Linked DNA regions of Rhinolophus ferrumequinum. The protein of the gene in region 2 purifies or fractionates together with the protein of the main gene of each other region. This does not show direct contact. Links are inferred from orthologs where the notes say so. Each region holds a gene or a part of one and is shown on either strand. Other genes may lie near its edges.

Region 1 (10,002 bases), on a different chromosome or scaffold from region 2:
GAAGACATGCCTGTCCTTGTCCTGGGGAGCGTCTGGAGTAGGCTCAGATCAGAGCCTGGAAATGAGGGAGAGGTGAAGGCGAAGATCCAGACTGTCTCTGGGTTTTAGGCCACAGACCAGCCTAGAGCTTTAGTGCCAGAAGAGAGCTTGAAGATTGGTATGTACAGCACCCTCTTCTGAGAAACTGAGGCACAGAGATGTTGGGTGGCTTGCCAAGTGACAAGAGATTAGTTGAGACAGGGCTAGAACTGGAATCCAAGTCTTCCAATGCACTGCTGATGTTCTTCCCAATATTTTATTATCACTTTGGGAATTTAGAATAGATCCTACTCTAAACTCCTTTCCTTTCCAAATTCTTTATCCCTGTTGGTTCCCATCCTTAGACAAGATGTCGTGTGTGTCTATGTGGGGTACGTGTGTGTGTATGTGTGTGTGTGTTGTTGGATTCCACGGGAAACAGACTCTGAGGCATAGATTTGCACAGGAGGCTTACAGGAGGTGTATTGGAGACTGCGCTCAGGAACAGCACCTCAAAGGAACTAAGGGAAGCAGGACTGGGCAGAAAGAGACGTTGAGGCATCAGCCGATCCTACATAGCACTCTGGAGCAGAGATGGTCCTTCAGAGTTCTCCTAGATCAAGGCTAGGTGGCAGGCCCTTTGGACTTTCCACACTGAAACCTCACTGGATGCAGGGGCTATAACCATAGGCAAGGTAGCTCTCTTCAGTTAAGAGCAAAAATCAGGGTCCCTCCCACTCCTTTCTGGAGACTCCAGGGGAGAATCGTTCCTGTGCATTTTCCAGCTTCTAGAGGCTGACCATGTTCCTTGCTTATAGCCTCCTTCTTCATCTTAAATGCCAGCAATGTCACATATCTTTGACCTTTCTTCTGTCCTCACATCTTTCTGACCTCAGCAGGGAAAGGTCTCTCCTTTGAGGGACTATGAGTAGTTAGGGCCCACCTGCGTGATCCAGGCTTCTTTCTCCATCTCTACATCCTTAACCTTACATGTACAAAGTCCCTTTTACCATGGAAGTAACATTCACAGGTTCCAGGGATCAGGAGGTAGACATCTTTGTGGGGCCATTATTCTGCCTACCATAATCTGAATTAAATATTTTTGGCAAGAATACTTCATATGTTCTTAGCAGCATTTTCACAGTAGCCAGAAAGAGGAAACAACCCAAATGTCTGGCAACTGATGAATGGATACAGTGTTGTATATCCATACAATAGACTATTGTTCAGCCATAAAATGGAATGAAGTACTGATTCATGCTACACCATAGATGAACCTTGAAAACATTACGCTAAGTGAAAGAAGCTGGACACAAATGGACACATATGTATGATTCCATTTATATGAAATGTCCAGAATAGGCAAACATAAAGTAGATTAATGGTTTCCAGGGGCTGAGGAGGGGGAAATGAGCAGTGGCCACTAATGGGTATGGGATTTCTTTTTGAACTGATAAAAATGTCCCAAAATTAATTGCGGTGATGTTACACAACTATGTGAATAAGCAAAACTCATTAAATTGTACACTTTAAAGAGGCAAATTTTATGGCATGTGAATAATATCTTAACAACGTTGTTTAAAAATGCCTTACAGATGATGCTGTATTCTTCACTTTGTATCACACCAGGAGGCATTTATATCTGGTTGTCCTTAGTAATGAGAAATGCTAAGGTTGAACTCTGGGTTAAGGTGGTGGCAACTGATGGAAACTGTATTTTTAACAAGTGCTTCAGAAAAGTTATCTACCTTACAAGAATACTACTACCTTGTAAGGATGTTATGAGGATGAAATTAAAATGTGACATACTTAGTAAATTTTAAATATGGTAGGTAGAAAAAGTCCCCACCCCAAGGAAGATGTTCACATCCTGATCCCTGGAATCTATAAATGTGTCACCTTACATAGTAAAAGGAACTTTGCAGATGTGATTAAATTTAAGGGTGTAAAGATGGGGAAATTACTTTGTATTATCTGGGTGGAATCTCAGAAGCTTGAAATTCTGACTCAGGAAAAGTTTTAAATGGTAGTTTTGTTAAACAATGAAGTATTTTCATTCAGCAACATTAGAACATTTACCAATATTGATTGTTCCTACAAGGAAATACAACTCAGCTTTCTCCCATTCCGCAGACCTACTCCTCTTCTACCATTCCCACCGAGTTAATGGCACCCAGTTGTCAAGGCAAACAGGAGTCAGCCTGGATGACTAGACCTTCTCTTATTTTCATTCTTCACCAGATCCAACTGATTTTATCTCCTAAATATTCCTTCAAATTTACTCTCATCTTCTCCATGCCACTCAGGACTTCATCAACTTTTGCCTGGACCATTCATTTCTCAAATATTTACTGAATATTTGCCTCTTATGGGCCAGGCATGATTCTTGGAGTGTGGAGTCTAGTAGAGGGGTGGGGGATAAGGATTCAGAAAGCAAGGAGGCAATTTAGGAGGCTATTACAATAATCCAGGTGAGCTGTTGGCAGTTTAGACACAGGGTGATGGATGGCACAGAGAAGGTGAGATGGCACTGATCTAAGGTAAAAGAGAAAGAGGACTCAATGATGACTCCAAGGATTTTGGCTTGAGGCACTGGAAGGATGCCAGTAGGTGAGATGTGGAAATAGTGTTAGGGGAAGAGATCAGGACTGCAGTTTTGGACATATGTGACTTTAATTTTAGACATATTAATGTAGGCAATTGGATATATATATATATATATATATATATCCAAAAAATGTATACACATTTTAAGAAAGGAAAACTGTATTATAATTGTAATACTCAACATGTACCCATAACAAAAGATGAATACAAGTCACGTCTGACTTCTGCAATTACAAGAGGTGCTCAAAGTGGTTACCATCAGCTTAATTTTTATAGTTTTTTTCCTTTCTTAAAAGGAAAAGGTACCCTCTGTATATATGCAGTTGGATATATAAGCTTGGAGTTCAGGCGAAAGATTTGGACTGGAGATATACATTTGGGAACTACATATCCAGCATTTAAAACCAGAAGACTGGGTAAGATCCTCAAGGGAATGTGTATAGACAGGACCAAAAAATGGGCTCTGGGGCACTCCCAACATTAAGAGGTAAGGGAAAAGAGATACAACTAGCAAAGGAGTCTGAAGAAGAGTCAGTAAAATAGGAGGAAATTAAGGGAGTGTGGTGCCCTGGAAGCCATGTGAAGAAAGTGTTTCCAGGAGGAAGGAGCAATCAATTGATCAAATGTTAAAGGTGGTCAATTAAGTTTACAGTATTAGATACAGTAACAAGGATGTCATTGCTGACCTTGACAAAGGCCTAGAGAAGGAAGGTTTAAGAGAGAATAAGAGAAAATTAAATAGAATGACCTTGAATTTTGCAGTCAAGGTGGGGAGGGGCTCCAACCTTGTAGGTAGTAACTTGAGAGCTCAAATGAAGGCTTTTTGTGATGGGAGGAGAAATAACAGAATGTGTGATTGGAGGAACAACGCAATGAAAAGGGGGGAAACTGAAGATGTAGGAGAGACAATTGCTGGAATGATGTCCTCGGGCAAGTGGTCTAAGGAAAAAGTAGAAAGATTGTTCTTCCATAAACTCAGGGACACTTCTATTTATAGTAACAGGAAGGGAAGGCAGAATATGTGGATACAGCGGGCTGGTAGGTAGGGAGAGGTGGTAGTGGGGGAAAACTCTTGATTGCATCATTTTTCTAAGTGCAGAAGCAAGCTGAGAGTGAGGATGGGAGAGGAGGTGTTGCAGGTTAGAGGAGCTGTGAAATATTCATCGAGGACAGTAAGTGGACAAGGGATATACAGTGTTTGTGGGGCAGCAGTATGGGCCCACTCAACATTCTGAGTCATGATGGAGGCAGAGGGAGGTATGTCAGTATGACTGTATTTTCCTGCAGGCCTGTTCAGCTGCAGATTTGGATTTGATCACAGTTGTAGATTTTATCAGAGTATGATGAATTCCCTTGCCCAGAGCTGGGCAAGGGAGTAGTCGTACCTCAGTTTCGAATGTCTCCATTGACAAACATTTCGGTTTACGACCGCTGTAATTTTTTTGATCTATGGTATCATTAGACAGTAAAATTCATGCTGAATTTGCAGTTTTAGGGATTGATTTTAAAGGTCTGGAAAGGATTAATCCATTTTGCATTACTCTCTATGGGGAAACTACACCTCAGTTTTCAAACGTTTCAGAACTTGAAAGGTCCTCCGGAATGGATTACGTTCAAAAACCGAGGTACCACTAATTTAAATAGAATTTAAGCAGAGCAAGAAGGAAACATCAAATGAGTAACAGTGAAATGATGATTGTAGGTGGAATGGAGGGATTGCATTGCTAGAGTTGGTGTTCTAGGAGAGAAGAGAGTGGGCAGAATAGGATGAATGAAACAGAGGACAGATAAGGTTTGCGGTCACTGGTAACACCAAAAAAATAACAGAAGTGCTTAACAAACCGTTAACTATCAAGACAGTAACTTTGCCCCCGCAAAATTAGCATTTTCCTCAATATTGAGCATCTACTTTGCCCTAGATAGGGGTAAAACCACAGTAACCTCCACACATCCAGATCACGGGTGCGAAGAAAAGCAAATTCGTGTATGCCAAGAAATCAGCATTTAGGTAATCTCAGCAGGTTGCAGCATCAATATTTAATTGAACCCATTATGTTTCATCCTACAAAAATACAGGAATACAGTCTCTTGAAAAAATTCCAACGCAAAGCAAAAGGCCCCTCTGCCCTACACTCCCCCTCACCCGATCCCACGTGTCACAGAAGGGTGAAAAAACCGAGACCCGACGGAGATTCACAGACGGACACTCAGATTCACCGAAAGGGGATCGCAAAGTCGGAATCCGGCAGAGGGCGCCATGGCCTCCCGGACATCGTCCTCGGAGGAGGTTCATCCTGCCGCCCGCGCCGTGGTTTTTAAAATGGAACCCAGCCCCGCCCCCCGCCCTGGGGCCGCCGGGAAAAGGGCTCCGCCCCACCCCCACGACCGGAGGCGTCCAGGCCGGCCAAGCGAAGGTTCCCGCAGAGGGAGTCGGCTCCCTCTGCCCCTTTCTCTTCTGTTTTTCTCCCTGCCAACCCTTCTTCTCCAGCCACTCGGAGGAGCCCCGGAAGACACAGTTGAAGCTGCCATTCTTCTCCCCGGCAATCTCCGAGTGTCCTCGCCTCCGCCTGCCCCGCCCCCGGAAGTGACGGCAACCACTCGGTTGTGCTGGTGTCCCGTCGGGCCTCGCGGCGGCGGCGGCGGCGGGAAGATGGCGGCGGCGGGATCCCTGGAACGGAGCTTTATAGAGCTCAGCGGTCCGGAGCGCGAAAGGCCGAGGCGCTTTCGGGAATTTACAGTTTGTGGCGTTGGTACGGAAGCAGCCAAAGAGGGCGCGATCCGATCCTTCCTCTCAGGCTCCTCCCATGAGTCCCTAAATCTCTGATCCCCAGTTTATCCTTTTAAGTCCACATGCCTATAGCCCCGAGATCTGAGCTTCCTTAGTGTCCCATTTCCTCTTTCTCTTCTTCCCCTTCTCTTCGTATGGATTATCAGTCTGTCATCCTCTGCTTTCTCGGCGCCCTCAGTTCCTGTCATCCTCAGAGAACCACGTGTGCAGGCTGACCCCTCTCCTTTTGCAGGGACTTCAAATGCCTTGACCGGAACCGTCAAATACAGTGAGAGCGCTGGAGGCTTCTACTATGTGGAAAGTGGCAAGTTGTTCTCTGTCACCAGAAACAGGTTCATTCACTGGTAAGTGCTGTGTTCGCCAAACCCCGCTGGAAAGTCGAGTTGGTGTCTGAATGTTCGTGGCTGTTTATAAAGGCTGTCCCGCTGTTCTCCGAAGCAGTAATTGACAGGAAGAGAAAGACTGTCTTCTAATTGTATCTGAATCAGGAGATTAAGGAGACCAGAGTTCTAAGAGAGGTTCCCTCCCAGGGCAGCACTAAAAGCAGAGGAAATGTAGCTTAGGGGATAGAGGCCCAAAGATCAGTTTTAAACATCAGTCCATTGTGTTTTTATAGTGTTTCCCCGAAAATAAGACCAGGTCTTAAATTAAGTTTTGCTCCAGAAGACGCATTAGGGCTTATGTTCAGAGGATGTCCTCCTGAAAAATCATGCTAGAGCTTATTGTCCCGTTAGGTCTTATTTTCGGGAAAATACAGTAGTGCTTTACAACTTCATTCTGCAAACGTGTGAGCTTTTACACATCAGGCACTGTGCTAGGTATGCTAGGGATTAAGTGATGAACAAAAACCACCACCATTTTCATCATGCAAGATGTTGTAGCAGTGTTAGCTGTGGACTCACCTTTCGTTGGGCTGTTTAAAGAAGGGAAAAGACATTAATGACACAACATAAGTATAACAATACAAATGTTTCATACCTGCTTCAGAAGAATAGTGTAGAGGCTATGAGAGGCTAAGGGCGGACCACATTTTATTGGTGGAGCTGAGAAGGCCTTTAAGGAGGTCATATTTAACCTGAGATCTGAATGGTTAGCCAGGCAGGGGATTGAGGAAGAGAGCAGTTCGGCAAGTGGGATCAAAATGTGCCAAGTCCATGAGGTGGAAAGAACTTGGCAGGTTTGAGGATCTGACCGAAGGTCTGTGACTTAAGTGCAATGGGCGAAACAAAATAATGTGAGAGATGCTGAGATGGGGAGGGAGGCAGAACTCATTATGAAGGACCCTGAGGTCCTTTTTAAGGATTTTGGATTTTATCCTAAGTACGTTGAACAATTATTGAAGGGTTTTTAATGGTTACTAACATGATCAGAATTGTATTTTTTTAAAAATTGGCTACTTTGTGGAAAGTGGATTTGGGTTAAATATATGTAATACAAAAGAACAATTTGCCTTTATGATGGCCCAAGTAAGAGATACTGGTTGTGAGAATGGCTAGGAAAAGAGAAATGGATGGATTCCACATACATTGAGAAGGTAGATTCACTAGGACTCTGTGATAGATTGAATATGGAGTGGGAGGTGATAAGGGAAAAGGAGGGAGCAAGGATAACTCTTTGGTTTCTAGTGTGACTAACCAGATGTATAGGGCAGAGGGGTGGCCATTTACTGAGATATAGAAGATGGGTTTTGAGAGATTTGAATAATTCTTTTAGACGTACTAAATGTGAAGTATTTGCAGCAGCCCTTTGGCAATATTAAATAAGTGCTGAAATTTAAAGGTCTGCGGCACAGAAGAAAGACCTATGTTAAAGATACACATCTCATTTCCTTCAGAAAGATGTTTGAGTTCTTAATATGTTACAGTCAATGTTTAGAGACTGGGGATGTGGCAGGGAACAAAGCAGACAAAGTCCCTGCTTTCGTGGAGGGAAACAGGCCCTAAACAGTAATAAGGAAAACAAGTAAATGCAGCTTATCAGGTGACGAGTGGAACAGAGACTAGGGAAGCAAGATAAGAGGGAAGGGGAATGCCTGTGGAAGTTAATATTTACATCGGGTAGTCAGGCAAGACCCAGTGATAATGGTGACATTGGAGCAGAGGAGTAAGGATGTTTGAGTGATGAGAATTTCAGGTAGACCCTTCTAAGGAAAAAAAGTGCAAAGAACCCTAAGACAGGAGCTTGTGTGTTGTGTTCAAAGAATGACAAGGGTACACGAGTCTGTAGACGAGTGAACAAAGGGTAGAATAATAAGAAAGGTAGCCAAGGACCAGGTCAGGGCTTTGTCGGTTATTTTAAGGCCGTGACTTTTACTCTTAGTGAGATGGAAAGAAGCCATTTGAGAGTTTTAAGTGAAGGAATGGCATAATCTAAGTTGTGTTTTTAAAGGATTGCTGTGGCTATGGGTTGAGAACAGAGTGTAGTGAGAAAAGGGTGGGAGTAGGGAGACCATTTAAGAAGTTGGTGCCACAATTCAGACGAGATGATGATGGCTTAGACCAGGGTGGCATTGGTAGAAGCAGTGAGAAATGTTCTGGTTGTGGACATGTTTTGAAGGTGGATTTGTTAGAATTTACCATTGGATCAAATATGGGGTATACAGAAAAAGAAGAGTCATGGGCGATCTCCAGATTTCTCTATTGAGAAGTTATAGAGATGCCATTACTGAACTGGAAAAGACTGTGTGTGAAGTAGGTATTTTTGTTTCTGTTTTTCAGGTTTGTTGGGTCCAAGAATTCTATTCTGGACAGGTTTTGATCGAGATCCCTGTTAGATAGCCAAGTGGAAGTGTTGAGGCAGAGGTCAGGAGTTCAGTGGAGACATTGGGCTGAAGATACAGATTTGGGAATTGTTGGCATTGGGTGGCATATAAAGCTGTTATGCTGAATGAAGTCATGTAGAGAATGAGTATAAATCAGGGTTTGGAGGGATTGCACTTGGAGGCAGATAAGTCTTGGTTGTGGGGGCTTCCTGTACGTTGTAATGTGTTGAGCGGCATCCCTGGCGTCTACCCCCTACGTCCCAATAGTGCACACACATGCACGTGTACGCGCACACAGTCGGTTGTGACAAGCAAAAGTCCAGATATTGCTATATGTACTCGGGGAGTGGGGCAGAATGGCCCCCAGTTGAGAACCTGTGTTGATGAGGGAAGAGGCCTGAGCACTGAACCCTGGGGAACTCCAATGTTTAGGCAGAAGAGGAACCAGTAAAGGAGACCGAGAAGAAGTAGCTAGTAAGGTAAGTGTTGAACAAAAAGAGAGTGGTGTCCCAGAAGCTAAGGGAGACATTTCAGGGAGAAGGAGGCTGAAAAACTGCTGAATGCCACGTACAAGCCAGAGAAATGAAAATTGATCTTGCACCGTGGAGATCACTGGTGACCTTGTCAGCAACTGCTCCAGTAGTGGTGCAAAAGCCCAAGGGGAGTGGGTTTGTGCGTGGAGGGGGGATTGTGAGTGTAGAACAACTCTCTCAAGGAGCATTGCTATAAGGCAAACAGCGAAATGGTAGCAGGCAGGCAATGGAGGGTATAGGGGAAATACAGTATGTTTATATGCTGTCAAGGGGAACCAATAGAGGAGAGGAATTGAAGAAACTGAGAAAGTGAGGCATTAGAAAACACATGGATATTGAAATCATTCACAATTATGGCAGGAGATGTGAGAGTGAGCCAGGAGCTAAAATCTTTAAGAAATGAGAGAGATCTGGAGATAACTGCAATGAAGAGGGTGGCAGGTGGTATCTGATTGCATGACCTTCAGAGCTGAGTGGTTTGAGCCAGGAGGGTAGAACAATGGCCTAGAAAGGCAGTGGGAAGCAAGCAGGCTGTCTGTGCCCTACCCTGAGGCCCCAGTACAAGGGGCATGGTAAGATAGCTTCCACCGTTAGAGAGGGGTCTGAGGGATAATGTTCTCTGGGAAGAACTAGAACCCAACTTTAACCATAAGGCAGAAGGTGAAGTGATTGTTCAGAGATGATGATGGTGAAGGTCCAGAAAATTGTGCTGATGATGCCACACCATTAGTTAGTTACCAGAAGCAAAGTAGCACTAGAGAATCATCAGAACTCCAGTGGTGCTCCAGTGTTTTGCGAGTAGATAAGATATGCTTTGGGAGAATGTGTACAGTGAGCAGAGAAGATGACCCAGGATTGAGGTTTGAGAACTAGCTATAGGGGTCAAGTCAAGGAGAAGAAGAGGGAATGCCCAGAGATATGGGTGTAAAACCAGGAGAGGGTCGTATGGAAGTCAAGAGAAGAGACTTTTAAGGACAGCATGGTCAAGAATGTGGATTGCTGCGAAGAGGCCACGTAAGAGAAGGAATGAAAAAGAGTCCTTTGGAATTGGTCTGGTGAACTTGGTAAGAAAAGGGTATGAGAGAGGTGAGAAAATAGAGAGAGCTTGGCCATGGAGGGGATTGGAAAAAACTTGATAGCTGGATGTGGGCCAGAATGGGGTGATGGAAAGGGATAGGCCGGGAAGAGCATATTTGAATGTTGATGGAAGGCTCTGCAAGAAGGAGAGATGGATGCAGGAGGACTGTACTTGAGAAAGTGAGAGATTAGCCTTTAATTGCCGGAAGGAGACCTGC
Region 2 (10,776 bases):
ATGACATTGTAGCCTGTTTACAAAATGTAATGATAAACAGTATGGTTTTCAAAACACTAAGAACAGAATTACCATATGATCCAGCAATTCTACTTCTGGGTTTATACTCAAAAGAGTTAAATGCAGGGTCTCATAGTGACATCAGCATCATGGCAGATGGAGAACTCCATCATGGAGAACTCTTGGTATCTCACCTTAAAATTGTAAGTCAGACAAATATAGTTAAACGAAGGATCCGCTGCTCAACACACAAACAGGTCTTTCATGAAAGATCCTGAATAGCCAAAGCAATCCTGAGAAAAAAGAACAAAGCCAGCAGTATCACACTGCCTGACTTCAAATTATACTACAATGCTACAATAATCAAAACAGTATGGTGTTGGCAGAAAAATAAACACACAGATCAACAGAACAAAAATGAGCCCAGAAATAAACCTGCACACATACTGGCAATTAATTTTCAACAAGGGATCCAAACTATACAATGGGAAAAGGAAAATGTCTTCAATGAACGTCGGGAAAATTGGAAAGCCACATGCACAAGGATGTAACTAGAGAGTTGACACTATACATAAAAATTAACTCAAAATGAAGTAAAAGACTTGAATATAAGAACTGAAATAAAATGCATAGAAGAAAACATAGATACTAAACTTATGGACCTTGGTCTCAGAGGGTTTTTTGTGAACTTGACCCAAAGGCAAGGGAAGTAAAAACAAAAAATAAATCAATGGGACTACATCAAACTAAAAAGTTTCTGCACAGGAAAAGAAACCATCAATAAAACAAAAAGACAACCAACTGAAGGGGTGAAGATATTTGCAAACGATACCTCTGATAAGGAGCTAATATCCAAAATATATAAATAACTCATACAACTCAAAAACAAAAAAGAACAAATACTACAATAAAAAAATGGGCAGAGGACCTGAACGGACACTTTTGCCAAAAAGACATACAAACGGCCAGCAGACATATGAAAAGATGCTCAAATTCATTAGCTAAAAGGGAAATGCAAATCAAAACCACAATGAGATACCACCTCACATCTGTTAGAATGGCTACTATCAATAAAACAAGAAATAAGTATTGGAGAGGACGTGGAGAAAAGATAACCCTAGCACACAGCTGGCAGGAATGTAAATTGCTGCAACCTCGATAGAAAACAGTAAAAAATTAAGAATAGAACTACCTTACATGACCCAGCAATACCTCTTCTGGGCATCCACCCGAAAAATTTGAAAACATGTATTTGTAAAGATGTACATATCTGTAAAGATATATGTAGCCCTACGTTCACTGCAGCATTATTCACAACAACCAAGACATGGAAACAATCTAAGTGTTCTTCGATCAATGACTGGATAAAGATGATGTGGTACACATATACGATGGAATACTACTCAGCCATAAAAAATAAAATACTACCATTTCTGCTAACATGGATGGATCTTCAGTATCATGCTAAGTGAATTAAGTCAGAAAAAGACAAGAACCATAGGATTTCACTCATATGTGGGATATAAAACAGAAAGCAACAAAGAAACTCATAGACACAAACAACAGTACAGTGATTACCAGCGGGAAGGAGATGGTGGGGAGGATAAAGAGGGCCAATTACATGGTAACCGAAGGAAACTAGACTTTGGGTGGTGAGCACAACAATGCAATATACAGATCATGTATTATAGAATTGTACACCCGAAACATATGTTATTAACTGCTACCCCAATAAATTTTAAAAAAACAAAAGGTCTCAAAGAGTTATTTGTACATCCACATTCATAACAGCATTGTTCACAATAGCTAAAACGTAGAAGCAACCCAAGTCCACGGAAAGATGATGAGTAAAAAGTGGTATATACAATACATGTAAGGAACTATTTAGCTTAAAAAGGAAATTCTGACATATGCTACATGTACAAACTTCAAAGACATGCTAAGTTAAATAAACCAGTTTAAAAAAAAGACAAATGTATGATTCCACTTACATGAGGTATCTAGAATAGTCAAATTCATAGAAATAGAAAGCAGAATGGAGGGTAGGGGGAATGGGGAGTTATTGTTGAATGGATACAGTTTCATTTCGCAAAATGAAAAAGTTTTGTAGATGGTGGTGATGGTTGCAGAATGTACCTAATACCACTTAACTGTAGACTTAAAAATGGTAAAGATGGTAAATTTTGTTACATGTATTTTGCCACATAAAAAATTTTTAAAGAAAAATTGTAATAATGCCCAACATGGAAAATGATGTTATCAAATCAATACTCACACTGGCAGTGTATAGAACAACCTTCAAAAAGGCAATTTATCAATTATTCTCAAAAGCTTTTAAAATATTCACTAATTTCTCTACTGGAATGAGCCTAAGAAAATCATCCAAAATATATAAAAAGCTAAATTAATGAAGATCTTCATTGCAACAGTACTCTAACAGACAAAACGTACAAACTGAAAGATCATCTAAAAAATTCAGTAGTAAGTGGACAACAAAAAAAGTATGGACTATTCAGTTAACAGACAATACAATATCCACAACAGTCAAAAGGTAGAAGGATAAACAAAATGTGGTGCAACAAAATTATTCAACCCTAAAAATGAAATTCTGATACACTGTACAAACATAAATGAGCACTGAAAATATCACAGTAAGTGAAATAAACAAGACACAAAAGGACAAATACTGTATGATTCCATTTATGAGGTACCCTGAATAGTCAAATTTATAAAGAGAGTTGGAGGTAACCAGGGGTTTGGGGTACAAGGGAAGAGGGAGTTACTAGGTACAGAGTTTCTGTTTAGATGAAGAAAAAGTTCCTGAGATGTACAGTGGTTATGGTGGCACAACAATGTGAATGTTGTGCTTAACAGAACTGAACTGTAATGTACACTTTCAAATTGTTAGTTTACCACAATAAAAAAAAAAAACTTTAAAAAGTAGTGATTCCAAACCTTTTACAGGTTAAAAACACTGCATTATTCGATGGATTTGAGGCACTACTCTTTTTTAGAGAGGAAAATTAGTTATAACTATCTTTGAGGAATCAATGGTATCAAACTTGATGGTTAAAAACGAGAAGTAAATATAGTCTTTCAACTTTTCAGTTATTTTGGAGTTGTTGAAAATTCAAATACTCCACACTCCAGCTTTCATCTTCAAGTCTATTATCGTTTACCCTTTATCTCTTAAATTCCTAAATCCCAAATAGTATCTTCTTAGTATAATAGAAATTGTTATTTTCAGAGCAGTATACAGACGTGTAAATAAACTAAGAAACACACCCTCCAATTCCTCGAGTGAGGAACTTCATTGGGTGTAAATGAATCTGTAATTTTCTTTCATCGCGAAACAACGTAAACCTCCTATCGGAAGACAGAGAATAAATAACCTCTCCAGGTGAAGGACGAGGCACACAGAGCTTAACACTACGAACTGACTGTCCTACAAGACCCAAGGCACAGTCCTTCTCACTGAACAAGAGTGGTTAACTCATTACAGATATTGCCAGAACTCCGCGGACAAAGCAACCCCTACTGGGGACTAGGCTGAGGTAGCTCGCGGACTCCCGCCGAAAAGGACCCGATACGGCGTACGCAGGAACTCGGAGGGCTCCCAGCGTCCCCCGGCGGCGGGAGCGCGCACGTGACCAACAGGCCCGCCCAACCCGCCCGTTCTACGCACGCGCAGGGCAGCACGGCCCCGAGGCGGCTGAGACCCCACAGTGAGGGGACGAGGATGGCGAAGCAGGCCACTTGGCCGAGGTTTGCCGCCTCCCTGGGGCTCCAGGTCTTGTGCCCGGCAGCGCGCATCAATATCGGGAAAGTCCCCTTTCCACGCGCGGGTCCCTTCGCTCACGCTCCCAATCCCCTCTTTCCCGGCTCAGCCTCGCCCCAAGGTTCCGCGCGCACCTTGACGCTCTGGTCGCTGGAGCAGGTCGCCATCCGCCGCCCATGGAAATCGAAGGAGACATCATGGATGAGATCCTTATGGTCCGCTGCGATGCTGCGTGCCACAAACATGGCTTCCGCCGGGCACGCACCTCTTCCGTCTGCCCCTCCGGCGTCTGAAGAGGGCGGCCGCGGCAGAGCATGAATCGCAGTCCCCCCAGACCCCGACGCCGGGACGTGCACGTCTCGTACGGCCTGCGCGCCCCCCGGCCCGCCCCTCGTCCCGTCATGCCCCGCGAGGCCGCAAGGGCTACGCCTGATCCTCCTAAAGGAAACCTTCAGTGGACAGCCGCCAAATTCAAGCAGATGAGCTTTGCGGTGCTTTAATGAAAGTAAAAAGAACTCATTGTTAAAGTATAAAAATTAAGAAAAATGAAAAAGTTAAAATGCTATCCACAGTCCTCAATCTTGAGTCAATTTTGGTCAACGTTTCGATTAGTTTCCCCTGCTATACGGGCAGAGTGCTCAGAGTGAGTCAAAATGTTTAAAGGTTTCACATGTAGAAAAGGCTTGGAGGTAGAACAGACAGGAACCAGGATGAATGAATGCAATGAGATACTAGGAATTACAAAGTTCTCCAAGTAGCAACTTAAATCACCTAGGAGAAGGACAGGATCCGAAATGAACTGGAAGAATGTTGAGCCAGAGTTCTCAATGAAGGAATAAGTCAAACGGGCGGCGAGACGGGGAGGGGGGGGGGGGGGGGAGAACACTGTGAAGGAGACCAGTGAAGAAGTCCGCAAATCAAGGATTCTGCCAAACCCAGTAAGTGGAGGAATATTCTGCAGAGAGGTTAACAATTTAGAGGATTTTGTTTATCAGACATTCCAGAAGGCTTAGTGGTAGAGTCACTTAGAATAGGAAACAGTGGAAGATTGGGTGAGGGAATGCAAGTAAAGAAAAAATAATAATTGAAAATGAGCCTGCCAAAGGAGGTTCGTAGTATTTTAATTTTAACCAAGAATGACAAGAAAGTGGGGGCATGGTGAGATTAGCAAACTAGAAAGTTTTCAAAACAGTCCCAGCTGTCCCCTGATGGATTACATAGAAACCAGCAAAGGGAGGTGGCGAAATGACCTCGCCTTTCTGGAATTTTCTTTACTTGCCTTTTTTCCACTGAATATGAATGATAAGATTTTATTGGTACTTTAAAAGACAGACCTCAAATCTGTGAGTTGCAGGTATGATAACTAATCATTGTAATTGCTGTAAGATCAAAGACTAATTTCTAAAGAAAGTACTCACTGTCTATAAAAGTCCAATCAATTTATAAAAGCTCCAAAACTTTTTAAAATTTTTTAATTTAAATATTTTTTAAAGTTAAATTTAGAGACAGTAAACGAATCAAAGGTTACCAGAGATATCTGGGTGGGGGATTAAATAGATGAAGCAAAGGGAATTTTTAAAAATAGACTTTATGTTTTATAATAGTTTTAGATTCACAGCAAAATTGAGCAGAAAATACATGTGTTCACATATACGTACCTACCCTCTGTAGGTATGCTTCCACGAAGATGTGCTTCCACGATATGCAGATTATTTTGAGCTAAAGGCAAAAGAGACATAAGGGGCTCAAGGGACACTTCTGCCCCTCCCCTTTATTTAGAGGAATTTGAATTAGGGGTCTTGGTCATAATAAGAGATCAAAGAAAACCTATATGGCAGGGCAAACTACTGATTACTGAACATGTGCTCTCCCTGCAATTACCTTCTAAAGTCCCAAGGTGCCTTACCTCATCCTTAGCCCAGAATGTCATATACAGCTTATTTTTTCTGCTGTTTTTCAACCTCTCATGTATGTAGGGCGTTTCTGACTCTCCTGTATGAGGGGTTCCCATATATAGTATGTAAGTAATTAACTTTGGTTATTTTCTCTTGTTATAGGTCTCATGTCTATTTATTAGACGAACCGAAAGAACTGTGAGAGCAGAGGAAAGTTTCTTCCTCCTCAATTCCTACAAAATTCCTACCAACTGGCCTCTACTACTAGCAATACCTAAAAACGCACTGTTATGTTTCTTACAAATGATGAACCTACGTTGACACATAATCACCCAAAGTCCATAGTTTACCTTGGTGGTGGACATTCTATGGGTTTGGACAAATGTGTAGTGATGTGTATCCACCATTGTAGTATCATACAAAATACTTTCACTGCTTTAAAAATCCTCTGGGTTCCACCTATTCATCCCACCCTTCACCCAACCCCTGAAAACCACTGATTTTTCCACTGTCGCCATAGCTTTGCCTTTTCCAGAATGTCATATAGTTGGAATCATACAGTATGCAGCCTTTTCAGATCAGCTTTTTTCACTTACTAATATTTATTTAAGTTTCCTCCATGTCTTTCCATGGCTTGATAGCTCATTTCTCTTTAGCACTAAAAGACATTTCATTATCTGGATGGATCACAGTTTATTTATTCATTCACCTATTGAAGGACATCTTAGTTGCTTCCAACTTTTGGCAATTCTAAATAAAACTACTATAAGCATCTGTGTGCAGGTCTTCGTGTGGACATAAATTTTCAGTTCCTTTGGGATTGCTGCATCATCTGGTAAGAATAGGTTTAGTTTTGTGAGAAACCACCAAACTGTCTCCTGAAGTAGCCGTACCATTTTGCAGTCCTGCCATCAGTGAATTGCTGATGCATCCTATTGCTCCACATTTTCACCATCACTTGGTGATGGTTGTCAGTGTTCTGGATTTTAGCCATTCTAATAGGTGTGTAGTGGTATCTCGTTATTATGTTAATCTGCATTCCCTTGATGACATGATGTGGGGCACCTTTTCATACGTTTATTGCCATCTGTATGTCTTCTTTGGTGAGGTGTCTGTTCAGGTCTTTTGCCCATTTTTTAATTAGGTTGTTTTCTTGTTGTTGAATGTTAAGAATTCTTTGTATATTTTGGATAATAGTCCTTTATCATATTTGTCTTTTGGAAATATTTTCTCCAAGTTTATGACCTGTGTCCTCATTCTCTTTTTTTAAAATAATTTTTTTATTTTTCAATTACAGTTGACATACAATATATTAGTTTCAGGTGTACAACATAGTGATTAGACATTTATATAACTTAACGAAGTGATCACCCCAGTAAATCTGGTACCCATCTGATACTATACTTATTACAATATTATTGACTATATTCCCTATGCTATACTTTACATCCCCATGCCTATTTTGTAACTACCAATTTGTACTTCTTAATACCTTCCCCTTTTTCACCCATCCCCCCAACCTCCCTCCCATCTGGCAACCCTCAAAATGTTCTCTGTATCTGTGAGTTTGTTTCTGATTTCTTTGTTCATTTCTTTTCTTCTTTAGATTCCACGTATAAGAGAAATCATATTGCATTTGTCTTTCTCTGCCTGACTTATTTCACTTCGCATAATACCCTCTAGGTCCATCTATGTTGTTGCAGATAGCAAGATTTCATTCTTTTTATGGCTGAGTAATATTCCATTATATATATATGTACCACTTCTTTATCCATTCATCTATTGATGGACACTTTGCTTCCATATCTTGGCTATTGTAAATAATGCTGCGATGAACATATGGATGCATATGCATATGTCTTTTCAAATTACTGTTCTGAGTTTTTTTAGATAAGTATCCAGAAGTGAAATTACTGGGTCTTTCTTTGTATCTTGTTATAGCCTTTATTTTAAAGTGTATTTTGTCTGGTATAAGTATTGTTACCCCAGCTTTTTTTGTTTTTTGTTTTTCATTTCTGCTTTCATGAAACATCTTTTTCCATTCTTTACTTTCAGTCTATGTTTGTCTTTCAATCTGAAGTGAGTCTCTTGTAGAGTACATATGTAAGGGTCTTATTTTCTTATCCATTCAGCCATACTATATCTTTTGATTGGAGCATTTAATCCATTTACATGTAAAGTAATTGTTGATAGATATGTAGTTATTGACATTTTATTATTCATATTATTTATCTTTTTCCCCCTTCTTCTACTTAAAGAAGTCCCTGTAACATTTCTTGTAACACTGTTTAGCTTTTCTTCTCTGGGATGTCTCCTCATTTTCTTGAACATATTTTTAAAATTTTATTTATGTTTTTATTAGTTTCAAGTGTACAGAACAATATACTGATTAGACATTTACACACCCCATCAAGTCTACTTACCCATCTGACACTGTACGTAGCTATTACAATACCATTGACTATATTCCCTGTGCTGTACTTTACACCCAGTGACCATATATATATATATATATTTTTAAATTATAATTGACATTCAATATTATTTTATATTAGTTTCAGGTATACAGCACAGTCGTTAGGCATTTATATACTTTAAGAAGTGATCTCCCCTGATAAGTCTAGTACCCATGTGACACCAGGCATCATTTTCACAACATTATTGACTATATTCCCCATACTACATTTCACATACCTGTGACTATTTTGGGACTACCAATTTGTACTTCCTAACTCCTTCACCCAACCCCCAACCCCCCTCCCATCTACCAACCATCAGTTTGTTCTTTGTAGCTATGAGTTCATTTCTGTTTTGTTTGTTCTTTTATTCTGTTCTTTAGATTCCACATATATAATTGCTTCTTGGCCTTTTGGCTAAGATCAAGTGTAGATTCCACATTTAAGTGAGATCATATGGTATTTGTCTTTCTCAGTCTGACTTATTTCACTTAGCATAATATCCTCTAGGTCTATCCATGTTGTTGCAAATGGTAAGATTTCATGTATTTTTAGAGCAGAGTAATACTCCATTGTGAAAATGTACCACAATTTCATTATCCAACTATCTATTGATGGGCATTTCAGTTGTTTCCATATCTTGGCTATTGTGAATAGCTCTGCAATAAACATAGGGGTGCATATATTTTTTCAAATTTGTATTTCGAATTTCTTTGGATAAATACCCAGGAGTGGAATTTCTGGGTCATAAGGTAGTTCTATGTTTAATTTTTTGAGGAACCTCTATAACATTTTCCATAGTGGCTGCACCAATCTGCAATCCCACCAACAATGCACGAGGCTTCCCTTTTCTCCACATCCTCTCCAACACTTGTAGTTTTGTTGATTTATTGACGATAGCCATTCTGACAGGAGTGAGATGGTATCTCCTTGTGGTTTTTATTTGCATATTTTATCTGATGATTAGTGACATTGAGCATTTTTCCATGTGTCTAATGGCCATCTGTATGTCCCTTGTGGAGAAATACCTATTCTGGTACTCTGCCCATTTTTCATTTGGATTGTTTGATATTTTTCTATGTTGAATTGTATGAGTTTTTATAAATTTGGGGTACTAAACGCTTATCAGATGTATCATTGGCAAATATCTTCTTCCATTAAGTAGGATGTCTCTTTGTTTTCTGATGGTTTCCTTTGCAGTGAAAATCTTTTTAATTTGATGTAGTCCCATTTGTTTATCTTTCTTTTTTAAGAAAATCAAACTTTATTGGGGTGACACTTGTTAGTAAAGTTACATAGATTTCAGGTATACAATTCTGTATTACATCATCTATAAATCCCATTGTGTATTCACCACCCAGAGTCAGTTCTCCTTCCATCACCATGTATTTGATCCCCTTTACCCTCATCTACCACCCCCAGCCCCCCTTAACCTCTGGTAACCACTAAACTATTGTCCGTGTCTATGAGTTTTTGTTTCTTTGTCTTGTTCTTTGTTGGTTTTGGTTCATATACCACATTGCAGTGAAATCATATGGTTCTCTACTTTGTCTGACTTATTTTGCTTAGCATTATAATCTCATTAATCCATGTTGTCACAAATGCTCCTATTTCATCTTTTCTTATCGCCGAATAGTATTCCATTGTGTATGTATACTGCAACTTCTTTATCCATTCGTCTATCGAAGGACATTTTGGTTATTTCCATGTCTTGGCCACCGAAAACAAAGCTGCAATGAACATTGGAGCACACGTGTCTTTATGGATAAATGTTTTTGGATTTTTTGGGTAGATACCCAGGAGAGAGATTGGTGGGTCATATGGTAATTCTATTCTTAATTTTGTTGAGGAACCTCCACACTGCCTTCCATAAGGGCTGCACCAGTCTGCATTCCCACCAACAGTGTATGAGGGTTCCTTTTTCTCCACAGCCTCTCCAACACTTGTTACTATTTGTCTTGTTGATGATAGCCATTCTGACTGGGGTGAGGTGATATATCATTGTGGTTTTTATTTGCATTTCTCTGATGATTAGTGATTTTGAACATTTTTTCATATGTCTATTTGCCATTTGTATGTCCTCTTTGGAGAAATGTCTCTCCAGGTCCCCTGCCCATTTTTCAATTGGGTTGTTTGTTTTTCTGTTAATGAGTTGTATGAGTTCCTTATATATTAAGGATATTAGCCCCTTATCGGAGGCACTGCTTCCAAAAATCTTCTCCCATTCAGTTGGTTGCCTCTTTATTTTCTCGATACTTTCTTTTGCTGTGCAGAAGCTTTTAAGTTTAATGTAGTCCCGTTCACTTATTTCAGCTTTTACTTCCCTTGCCTTTGGAGTCAAATTCATGACATGCTCTTTGAACCCAAGGTCCATAAGTTTAGTACCATGTTTTCTTCTATGTAGTTTATTGTTTCAGGTCTTATGCTTAAGTCTTTGATCCATTTTGAATTAATTTTGGTACATGGTGACAGATAGCATCCAGTTTCATTCTTTTGCACGTGGCTTTCCAATTCTCCTAGCACCATTTATTGAAGAGGCTGTCTTTTCACCAGTGTATGTTTTTTGCTTATTTGTCAAAGATTATCTGTCCATATTTATGTGGTTTTATTTCTGGGTTCTCAGTTCTATTCCATTCGTTTATGTGTC

Evidence for each region.
Region 1: the proteins of SEH1L (region 2) and NUP160 fractionate together in Homo sapiens (co-fractionation; 3 studies listed by BioGRID and IntAct, with this or other methods). This does not show direct contact. The link is inferred for Rhinolophus ferrumequinum from reciprocal best matches to the Homo sapiens genes SEH1L and NUP160.

The regions. Positions count from the first base shown.
Region 1 is NC_046294.1:13,504,662-13,514,663, forward strand, and holds the start of NUP160 (nuclear pore complex protein Nup160), read left to right. Parts: upstream 1-5,041; 5' UTR 5,042-5,275; coding exon 5,276-5,375; intron 5,376-5,645; coding exon 5,646-5,757; intron 5,758-10,002. UniProt on the Homo sapiens protein: Functions as a component of the nuclear pore complex (NPC). Involved in poly(A)+ RNA transport.
Region 2 is NC_046302.1:5,254,198-5,264,973, forward strand, and holds the start of SEH1L (nucleoporin SEH1), read right to left. Parts: upstream 4,154-10,776; 5' UTR 4,024-4,153; coding exon 3,913-4,023; intron 1-3,912. UniProt on the Homo sapiens protein: Component of the Nup107-160 subcomplex of the nuclear pore complex (NPC). The Nup107-160 subcomplex is required for the assembly of a functional NPC.